3 linked regions of the Drosophila melanogaster genome follow. The protein of the gene in region 3 interacts with the protein of the main gene of each other region in a pairwise test. Each region holds a gene or a part of one and is shown on either strand. Other genes may lie near its edges.

Region 1 (3,753 bases), on a different chromosome or scaffold from region 3:
AAAGGTATCAACATTTTTTATATTTTTCGATTAAGCCGTCACTATTTATATGTGTTTTTTTTTTTAACAGGCCCTTAGGGAACAGCATAATGATATGCTGCTCCAAAGCAGCGGGCGGGGATCTAGGTATAAACAACTTTACAACTCCATGGATGTGGAATAAGCTGTACTGCCCAGTTGTCCAGCAAAATAGCAAACAACCTTGAGTGTGCAAATAAGGCGTTCCTTTGGCTCAATAAAGCAATATATCTGGAGCTGATTTTCGTAAACAATTTATTTTTCCGATAAAATTCGAATCTCCTATTATTAAAATCACTTTGCCATGTCTTGAAGTAACTTAGGTTATTATGATCAAATTTTCGGAATAAAAAGAATTACGTAATTAATATTTGAATGGGTTATGTGTGAAGGAATTACGGTGGTAAAACTTTTCTATAACAAGTGTGCTATGGCTCTGACTTCGAATGGAGCTGCGATGTGAAGTTCTATGAAAGCCTCATTCTGCTACTGGAATCTGTTCGGCCAACACCTAATATTGGGTTCTAAATTTTCAAAATAGATTTTCTTTCTAATATTGCACAAAACTAACAAAAATGGCGGTGCGACCTTTTGGTGAGTGAGAATTCATAAAATTGTAATGTGGTAAATAATATATTATACATGCTTTTTGTAGGCCCTGGACCCGGCGTTTACATGCTGCCCCCCACTGTGGGCTATGATAAGCATGACAACCGCAAACAGCGGTTGCCGCAGTACTCTTTCGGCATGCGCACCCGTGCTCCTGGTGAGGATCTGGGTCCTGGTCCAGGGGCCTACAAGGTGGACAAGTTGACTCGCTATGGCACGAGCAAGGGTTTGGAGTTCTCGATGGCGCCCAGAACCAATGTCATCGGTAAGATAACTTATTAGTACTGAAGACAAGAACGTTTTTGGTTAAATTGCTTAATCGTAGATAAGCGAAGCAGTCCCGGTCCGGGAGCACACGATGTTCATAATAGGCCATTCTTTAAGGGGGTTAATGCTCCTTCGTATTCGATGGGCCTACGAACGGACTTTAACTTCAAGAAGGATGGTCCCGGTCCCAATGCCTACAAGTACGAGGTCAATGCCGTTCGTCCTGGAGTCCCGAGCTATAGCATGTGCGTATTTCAATCCTACCATAGTTATTCCTTTACTAAGTTGCCTATTTTTATTTGTACCTGTATCTCAGGGGACTACAAACAAAGATTTTGAACAAGACGAATTCTCCGGGTCCGGCTGCATATGGCGGTGGTGATATCAATGTCAAACTGACACGTGCTCCGATATACTCGATGCAGCCGCGCACCACTATTCCGGGCGAGAATGTCGGACCTGGACCCAACTACTACGACCTCATGTACTATCGTCCTGGCAAGAGTGGACCGGGCTACTCCTTTGGTGTGCGCCACCACCAGTTCGCTCCGCCTATGATAGTTAGATGTGACAATATGTAGACCAAGTGCAATATTGGAAGAAATATATGCTAAAATTTTTGTGAATAAACAATTCTTTTTAAACCAAGTTTCATTGTTTATGGAAAATGCTTAACGGGGTATTAAAATGAGATTGAATTTGTTTTAACTTGGTAGAACGCAATGAGCGTTACCTTTATTGGAAAAGGAAGGGAGCATTTTGATGCTAGTGCGCCTATGATGTGATACACTTGGCTCTGTACATGTCTAAAATACAAGTAGTCCCTGAACGATGTGTCAAATTAACATTTGATAATAGAAATTTTTGGAAAAAGCACATTTACATTTACATTATTATATCAACGTAACGGTGAGTTTTTAGGCAGACAACAACACGCGTTACTATTTTACGGAATTGAGAGTAACTGAATTTGTATTTAGACTATCCCATTTCAATTTCGCGGGCAAATGCTCATCTTGTTTCAACCGTTGTTTTCTCTTAACAGAGCGCTGTTATCAAGATAATGGTTCGAGTGCTCGCTTAAAGGCACTGGAACTCGGAACCATTGATTTTATCTAACTCCGGTATTTTTCAGTCACAAAATTCTTTTTATCAAAGTTTCTCGTTTTGTTTGTAGATTTTGCCTGTTTTATTTATAGTTTTTCGAAAGAAGTTGGCGAAATTGTCCAAGCAAATTTATAGTTTGCTCCAGTGTCCGTAAATTAGATGTGTGTTTGTGTGTCAGTGGCTCGTCGGGCATATTATAGGAATTTGTAATAATTAGTGGCCAATAAAGGGAGAAGAAATATATTCACCGAGCATTCGCCACGGCAAAGTTCTTGCCGTCCATGTTCCCAGCTTACGATTGGTAACATGATGAGCGATGTGGCGGGTGCGGCCGCTCCAGGTGGTACACCAGGTCAACCGCAGCAGGAGCAGGAACAGTCTTTGGCGGAGGCTGCTCCGCGTACACCGACGCTTGCGAATCCTCCTCCATCCTCACAGGAGCTGGGTCGGACCCCCAACCAGGAGAGCCGCCATAACGCAAATTCCCACTCCCGTCGATCGGGTGGTGGCCAGGTGCCATCGAAAGCCCAGGGTAACACCGAGTCCCAGTTCTTCTTAGAGGATGGGGTTTTTCGCATTGATCGGCGCGGTCGCGTCCATTTTGGCTTGGTAACCGCAACGACCGAGACCTATTCCTCCTCCGAAGAGGAAGATGTCGATTCGCTGTCCAGGGGCGAGGTGCGTGTGGCCTTCTATCCGGGTGGCAAGGAGATGGTGATGACGGAACAGTCGGTGAGTAAACTCCATTGAGGTTATGTAAGTCTCACGGTCTCTCCAAAAAAATAACTGTTTTCACAACTGTTTTGAGTTTGCTCTTCAAGTTCTTTTGACACGTGTTTGTTTGCTTCTTTTCTTTTGTTCCATCGACATCCGAACATGTGGCATATACACAGATTGGTCTGGCGGATCGCACCCTAATGCCAGGCGATGTGGTGCGGAGGCGTCTGCCAGGAGAAAACGTTTTGGCTGGCCAGGCGGGCTACGTGCGGGATGTCAATGTACGCGCCGATGTTATGGTAATGGGCTCCAGAATGGTCATTAAAAATGTGCCCGCCGAGCGACTGCGTCCGATATCCGAGTGGAACCAATATGTGCCTCTCTGCATGGACACCTGGATAGGCACCATCATAGACATTAATGAGTGCGCTGTGCTCAAGTATGTTTCATATCTCTCAATCAACTCGGGCGAACATTATTTTCAATATTTTTTTGCAGATCATCCAACGGTGCCCGTGTGGAAATCACCTCCAACGATTTCCACAAGTTTAAGGATGCTGTGTCCGAATGCGATCGCACGGTCTTCAATCCGAATGTCTTCTTTCCAGGAAACATTGTAATCGGTCGCATGCCGCCCCCGGATCGTGTCAAGAATCTGACCCCGGAGATTACCCATCCCTTAACTCGCAAGGGTCGTGCTGTGGTAGGGAGATATTAATCCTTTATAGATTTGTAGTCTCAGATTGACCGATTGTATATACTAGTTACGCTATTATTTTATGTAGCATTCGCCCTAGTTTGATTTGTCATAGTAGATTAATTACATTTTTACTTAACTAAAGAAGGCCCTCCCATACTATCGCTAATTGAAAATAACCTTATTTATCCAGTACACCGTGGAGTCTGTAGAAACTACATCAATTAATGTGGATTGGTCCTGCCGTGCAATCGGAAATGCCACGGGCAGCGATGACACAGACAGCGATCCTCTAAAGGAGCCAAGGTCCTTGATCAAGGGTGAGGAACTGCACAAAG
Region 2 (3,753 bases), on a different chromosome or scaffold from region 3:
CAATGGCAATTGGCTGCAGATGACGGCACTCAAAATGCGATCATCGTGCTGATGGAACTCGATCTTTTCCGCCTCTAGCTCTGCTGTCGGCACCGAGTTGGTCAAGTGCAGAGGATACACAACTTTAGAAGTATACAAATAGATGTGGCTGCTGCCTACTACAAAACGCACGCTGAGGCAATCCTCCTCAGTCTTGGCACTAAAGAATTTGTTCATATTGAGCGGCGTGAACGATTCCAGAAGCATTCTTTCAGCTTGAGCAGTGCCAGTCACTAAAATACTTAACATTATATACCATATCAAGATTTGCTGTCACATACTTCTTACCCAGAGCGTAGCACATTTGTGGAGCGTGAGCAGCATTCACAGCTCCAGCCAGTATATAAGCTTTGTTCTTAACCACGTGAAAGTCCAACAGATGGAGATCGATCTCCAAACTATCCGCTGGGAGTCGGAACTTCCAAAAGTTCGTTATAAACTCTTCGCGTATCCTGCGCAACATATCCGCATCCTCGTACAGAAGGTTTTCGGTGTTGCCATTGTTGGACAGACTCCAGCGCTGGATTGCACGATCAGAGAGCACGGCCACAATGGTTTCTCCACTTTCTAAATTGCTCTCGCAGCACATGCCGACCAAAGTCTAAAAAACACTTCATGAGATTTTTGTCCCATGCTGGACGAAGATACTTACTTGATCCTTGTCTGCACCCGTGTTCATTCCAATCAAAATGGAGGCAAACTTTTTGCCAAAACCACCAAGGAAGCTAGTGGCAGGCTTGATAGTCTTATGGTGAAGTGTGTAACGTCCGTTGGTCAGTCCGACTCGCAGGAATACCAGATTGCAGGTGGTTGTAACGGCTAGGTAGCCCTGCTGCGTTGGTAGACTGAGCAGCTGGACAAACTCTTGGCCAGTTAAGATGGAAAGATCCACGGAGTTCCCATCGTGCGCAATCGATGACCAGTACCGAACTTCTCCCGTGGCTGATACCGCTATGCAGGAGGCCATTTGCTGACCCTCCGTCTGGAAAACACTGATTAAATCACTCTTGTGACCCAGGTCACTGTAAGGTAAAGTCAATTCACGGCACTGGGCCAGACCACCACCACGTCTTGCCAGTTTGCCCACACGAGGTGGCGAGCCCGACTTGGCCGTGTCCTTATACTGCCAAATCAAGAGGCGTCTGCCTTGGACAACCTGAAAAGGTAATCGTACTGATTGCTGAACCAGATACAATGAGAGTTGCTGATATATTACCCAAGCCCAACCGTTTTGCGTCACTTTGGCTGTTACTGTGCCCGCTCCTGGACCTGCGAAGGTTAGTGCCTCATTGACCACCACCGGCAGTGGACAACCGAAGCTCTCTACCGAATTGTAATCGGATCGGATGCCGGCAATGGACTGAGTGGAACGCACCGACAAGCTGAGCCGGCTGAAAAGGATTGTTTGATGAGTGGGAAATTCCAGGAGAATAAGTTAGCACATACCTGTTGGTCAGGGCAGTCCTTTTGAGGCTCCCCGACATCTGGGCGCAACTGGCGCTGCCGCCAAAAATTGATTTACGCGTGCTGTCTGCCGAGGCTGCTGGCATGCTGTACCTTCGTGCACCTGGTGAAGATTCGCGCGATATGCCGTATAATTGCTTCTGCAGATTTCTCTCCATTTTTGTGCTGGCTCTTATTTGGGAAATGCCTATAAATCAAAAATAAACAACTACTTTTGCAACAGCAAACAATCTAGCCGGCATGTGTGTGAATCGATTTTTGATGTCGCAATATCGAAATCACAGCTGAGTACATTTGAGTTATTTATCGATTAGAAGTCACGACATTATACACAAAGAACACAAATTTAAATATAGGAAATTATTTATACTACATAAATGTATTTTATATACTATATACGATGAATAATTAAACTTTGGTAAACAAATTTTTAAATTAATAATTATATTAACTAATATTTGTGAGTCCATCTCTAAGACAAGTTCTACACGATGCCATCGCTAAGTCAAGACTAGAATTATTTCATAGATTTTCGTAAACAAAGCGAAAAACTCGACATAGATGGCCACCTGGACGCAAAATGAGCCGACAGGTGTCACCAAGCGCAGGCGTTGGAATCTGGAAGGTAAATCTCTGAGCTTTGATTGATACACGTTCATAAAGTGAAGATGTTTTCCCTTACAGATCGTGCCTCCTTGAACAAACTTAAGCATCACATCGCCGAGGAGGGATGCCCCCAGATGCAATACGATCTGGCCAAAGAGTTACTCGATAATTCCATAGGTGAGTGTAAGGATTTGCTCGAGAATTACAAGATAATGAAGATTGCTATGTCCGCAGTAGAGCCCAATCTTGCCAAAGGCAATCAGAGCCAGAAGGCCGTCAACTGGCTGGTGAGTGCAGCACACAATGGACACGAGGATGCAGTCAAGCTGCTACGCCAGTGCTACAACGATGGCAGCGGTATTACGGCAGAGAATACGGACGAAGTGCGTCGCTGCCTGGCTATGACGCCTGGTGAGCGGGCTGCCAGAAAAGCAGCCCGGGAGCTTTTTGCCTGCCTATCAAATGGAAACGAGCATATAACGCCCAAGCAGCTGGAGCGCAAAATGCGGCGCATCTACAATCTGCAACGCAAGCGGCGTCGACGCGATGATGACCGCTCCTCGTCGAGCAGCGAGGGCGAGCAGGAGCCGGAGTGCGAACCGCTCGAAGATGTGCCCACCATTGACCTAGCCAATGTGGAGCGACGCCGCCTCATCACCGAAGCTCACCTCGTTTCGGCAGCTTCCAATTACAGTGCCGGACAAATGCCCAGCGTTAATGATGCTCTCACATTATCCGTCCCGGATCCTAGGAGCTTGGACCATGTACCCTGCTTCTACCGCATGATCTTCCACCCGCTTATCTTCTTCACCCTGTTCTACCACCGGCTGCTTAACTTGATTGTGTCCATACCCAACGTCATCCCTCTGAGCGTGCGCTGCAGCGTGCTCGTTGCAATCTCTTGGTGGAGCAGCCGGCATATGCTGCCCCTGGTCAGCTATTATCTCAGTCTGGGCATCATGATCTGGGCCACGTGTAAGATGCTGAAAACCAAACAACAGTTCGTGGACTTTCGCATCTGGTCGGGACTGTTCCTGAGCTACGGGGATCAGAACATCGAGGCGGACATTGCGGAGCATCGCTTTTTACGCAACAATATGAAGCCGTACCTGTACTTCTTTTGTGCCTTCATTTGCAACCTGATTGTCTACCCGTTGGTCACAGACGCCTGGCTGCCACACTCGGAGCTGACTATAATCTCTGGAGCCTTGACCTTCATCACCATGTGCGTGTCCATGTACGCCTCCTCCCACCAACTGCCTGACTGGCTAGTGATTGTTTCCTTTGCCGTAAATGTTCTTGCCAAATATCCGTACGAAATGGACGAGGTTGTGTCTACGCGCTGGCGCTTTCTTGACCTACGCGTACCTACTTTCTCATCGTTTGTCATTGGCAATGGCATTGAATTCTGTTTGAATTGCCGCACTGCCTTGTATCTCTTTATTCCGGTGCTGCTAATTATGATGGCCAAACGCTCCCGTTGGCATGGAGTCTACACATTCCTCATCCCGCACTGCGTCACGCTCAGTTGGCTGCAAGTGTGCATAGCCACCTCGCAGAGTTCCACCGTTTTTGGAGTGATGCGAGCAGCCCTCGGCTTGGCTGGAATCGTCCTGTTCCTGCCTCTGTTCGGAATCGTGGCAC
Region 3 (3,753 bases):
TTCTTTCAACCTGATGACAGTGGTTTTTGGTTTCAATATTTGCGTAGCCAAGGGCTACTCCATTCGAAATGCCAAACGGTAAAGGTAGCCTACGTTAAATACAATAATTGGCAGAACGAAGAGGTTTCTCGGCGCGAAATCGGGGCTACGCCAGTAACCCATTCGTGGACCACTTCAACTGGCTTCCTCAGCCTTTCCACATGCAACGCCTGCCCGCGAAGACAAGTCGAATGGCACTGGAAAATCTGTCGTAATTATGCAACTGGCAACCAGTCGAGAGACTCCTCTCGAAAGAAAATTTCCATGGCGGCGATGTAGAAATATGGAAAATTGGAAAACCCAACCTGCATGGAATGGGATCAACAAACTAACGTAATTCGATCTGCGAAGTAAATAATAAAGCAACGAAAGATGCACGGTAAATGGGGAAATACTTTGAGAAAATAATGAGGACCCATAAACGCTTTGTCACGTTTGTCTGAACATCGTGGATATGGTCAGCTGTAAAACGGAAAAAAATAATGCCAGAAAATATGGTAAGTCCATCATCAAGTCGGTTCGGCATAATGGAAACGTTAGTTTACTTTTATTGTTTCAAAGCAGCGAAACTTTCACACTCGTTAATAAAATATTATTAATTTGATTGAGCGCCCCTGTCTGTTGGTTTTATGGTACTTAGTGGGAAATTCAAAAGTTATTAAACGATTATCATTCAGTGTGGTACAGCGATTTGGATTTGGAAGAGCTTGCAGAATGAAATCACAGTCTTGTTGTTGTTGATATAGAATGCGAAGAAGTTACGTTTCCAGGATCATCGGTTCGGTGGGGGAATGGAATGGGCGGAGCTCGTCTATTGGTTCTCCAGCAGACCGATGTACTGGCCATTCTGGTTGGCCACGCGTCGCTCCTCCAGTTTCCTCGCAAAGTCTGGATCTGTCTTGGCCCTCTGCTCCAGACGCTCCTGCTGCAGTTTAATGCCAGCGTAGATCTGATCCAAACCCTTCTGTATCTCCTCGGGAATAGCCGGCGGAGTAGGAATGTGATCACCTGTGGCCCTGAATCCATTCTCGTCGGCCGTGTACTGCACATTGACCAGAGTTCCCTCGGGGGATTGGTAGGAGTACTGGCCATGCTGAACCAACACCCCATTTGGATTGGTGTCGAAGTCCTTGAGGAAACCGGTTTCCTCATGAATGATGCTATTGCCCGTCTCGTATTCTGTCTTGTAGCTTCCATCGTCACTCTGCTCCTTGTTGTACTTGATTATGGGTATCCAGGTGCTGGTCTCTCTGTGATCTTCATGACGATGATGATCTGGTTTGTCATCGCGTGGTATGTTGTTCACATTTTGGTGCTGATGTTGATGGTGGTGTTGTCCTTGGCAGGAAATGGCCAACAGCACAAGAAGTATCTGAAAGGATAAATATTAGCTTAAGCTTACTAACACATGCAAGTCATTACGATTTCCAAACAAAGTAATCACAAAAAAGAATATTTAATCCTATCCTTTAGATGTAATGTAAACCAATAAATTTTATATTTGAGAAGATCGAACTGTTGCAATGTTTGCCAATCATTCATCGAGAATCACTTGACCGATTTTATGTGATTGGTTATGTGAACCACTTACGAGCACTTTCATTTCGCAAGGAGTCTCTGCCGCTTATCCACTGTATTCCACTGATTTGGCCCGCTTTGTCGCCCGTTTGGCTGGCACTGATCGCACTGGCTAGTGAAAGCAGCTCCGTTAGACACTGTGCCAAGCGCGGCCCTATTTTGGTCTTATATAGGCGATTCGCTCTGCTCCGACCCGATCCGATCCTCCTGTTGCACTCGTGTCCATACCCACACAGGTGAGCCTCCATGGGAGAGCGTGCATTTGCTATTTCTGCTGGTGATGGAGTTTCTAATGGAGATGAAGTTGCAGATGGATATGCAGTTGCAGTTGCCGATGAAGATGGGAGGGGATGGGAGTGGAAGTGGAATTTGCCATGGAAGCTCTTATTTTTTGTTAGCTGTCTGATCCGACCGATCGGTAATTGTTGTTCGTAGGCTCGACGACGCTTAAATGCTAAAATCGTAAAAAAAAAAACAATTCACTGTCGCTCTCGTTTGAGGCTTTTTCAGAGGCTGAGGCAGTATGATTTTAAAAGGAATCCAGAACTATGACAAACTATAAGGATAAAGCTAACATTCCATAATAATTTTGGATTAATAATTTGTGTTCGCCTTTTGTAAAATTTGATACCGTCATTATTATATAATGAAAAAAAAACGAAAAAATTGCAAATGCGCACACAGTAAAAAACAAATTATTTCTTTTCGCAAAGCAAAATCAGCTCTAAAAATGTTTAATTTTAATAGCTTCTGACCTTTTCCCTTTTTCTCATGCCCTAATCTTGGGATACTTTATTGAAATAACAAGTTCGTTTCCTAAGTCTTTTGTTTTAACGCAAGAAAATTCTTATGAAATGTTTTTTTTAAACATTTTATATTAAAAATATCTTATCTATTAAACTTTCTTATATATTACTTATTTATGAAGAGTCGTTTTGCCTTGTTAAGCCCCTTTTATACCGGCACCCATCTTAGCCCGGCTTATTGTCGCTGTTCGTATTTGGCCCGCTCGTAGGCCCGGCTCAAATGTCTGCGAAATGTCCGTCCCCCGCCAGCGCGTCCGGTCGTTCATCTTCGCAATGCCGTTATTTAGAAACATGCCAGAACGAGTTTTTTTTGCTTTGCTTTCGTTGTTGACTTGGCCAAAAGCGACAGTCGGCTCTCTCTCTCTCTCTCTCTTGCGACTGAATCGCATTTGAAGTGCATCCAAGATGCTGCTCCCTCGCGGCTTCGGTTTCGGATTCATTTTGAGATTCGCACTCGGACTTAGATTTGGATTCGCATTCTTGTAATTGCGGCAGTTTGGCGGACCCAATACCAACACCAGCGAAGCGCGAATTGTTGTAACAGCCAAAGTGCCTGGCAGATGAGGCAAGACGATAATTGAGTTCAAAGCGGGCCCGTGTCTTGGCAAATGTTAATTAGTTGCCAAACAATTGGGTTAATCTACAGTGCATTTTCGGCCAAAGATAACAAATAAACAAATATTAGGCGTTGTAAGAAATAAGAGAAAAATTCAATCATAGGAGACGATCAACTTGCAAGGGACAATATACAGCGAGTGCAACAACCGACGAAGTGCCGGCAATAAAGCCCGAAATGCTGCCAAACTCCAACGCCTATTGCGACAAACGACTCCTCCTCCCTCTGGGCCATCGTATTTTGGCCAACTCTTCGTCTTCCGCACCCACGACACCAAGTCAAACGCCCGCCAAGCCCCCGGTTTGCAATGTTGCTGCCGTGTGTGGTGATGTTGCTGCTGTTGCTGATGATGCATTGCAGGTTGTGCAACTCGTAGAGTTGCAGTTCCACGCACGGGCGAAAATGAAAATAAAAAACGAAAGCTGGGCAAGGTTAGCTTTCGAGTGCACCACCACAGATGCGCAAATGCTCACCATGAAACCGAACCCCCATCCCACTACCCACAACTGTGGCCCACTCACACATTGACCTGTTGCTGCCGGCATGGGGAAATTGCAGCATCTGCAAATGTCAAACGATTTCACCCTTACATTCTTAGCATTTGTCGTTCTTATGAACAACATTTGACATTTGGGTTCCGTTCCATTCCGTTCGGATTTGGCTTTATGGCAGAGAGCCAACTTGGCTAACAGAACCACGTTGCTGGCCATAAAT

What was found.
Region 1: the proteins of Cpr49Ah (region 3) and CG10254 interact in a two-hybrid assay, tested with the Drosophila melanogaster proteins (one large-scale study listed by BioGRID).
Region 2: the proteins of Cpr49Ah (region 3) and Nup133 interact in a two-hybrid assay, tested with the Drosophila melanogaster proteins (one large-scale study listed by BioGRID).

Annotation. Positions count from the first base shown.
Region 1 is NT_033777.3:23,693,003-23,696,755, reverse strand, and holds the start of CG10254 (uncharacterized protein), read left to right. Parts: upstream 1-1,772; 5' UTR 1,773-1,803; intron 1,804-2,029; exon of another isoform or gene 2,030-2,230; 5' UTR 2,231-2,307; coding exon 2,308-2,733; exon of another isoform or gene 2,734-2,750; intron 2,751-2,894; coding exon 2,895-3,157; intron 3,158-3,216; coding exon 3,217-3,421; intron 3,422-3,608; coding exon 3,609-3,753. Other genes in the region: prt (portabella), read left to right, coding at 1-4, 71-163; CG10252 (uncharacterized protein), read left to right, coding at 594-612, 674-892, 953-1,139, 1,211-1,475.
Region 2 is NT_033777.3:22,688,608-22,692,360, reverse strand, and holds the start of Nup133 (nucleoporin 133kD), read right to left. Parts: upstream 1,755-3,753; 5' UTR 1,662-1,754; coding exon 1,486-1,661; intron 1,431-1,485; coding exon 1,256-1,430; intron 1,196-1,255; coding exon 692-1,195; intron 641-691; coding exon 328-640; intron 273-327; coding exon 1-272. Other genes in the region: wfs1 (wolfram syndrome 1), read left to right, coding at 2,065-2,128, 2,188-2,286, 2,344-3,753. UniProt on the Drosophila melanogaster protein: Probable component of the nuclear pore complex (NPC). Plays a role in NPC assembly and/or maintenance.
Region 3 is NT_033778.4:12,411,951-12,415,703, reverse strand, and holds Cpr49Ah (cuticular protein 49Ah), read right to left. Parts: upstream 1,743-3,753; 5' UTR 1,643-1,742; coding exon 1,631-1,642; intron 1,412-1,630; coding exon 851-1,411; 3' UTR 534-850; downstream 1-533.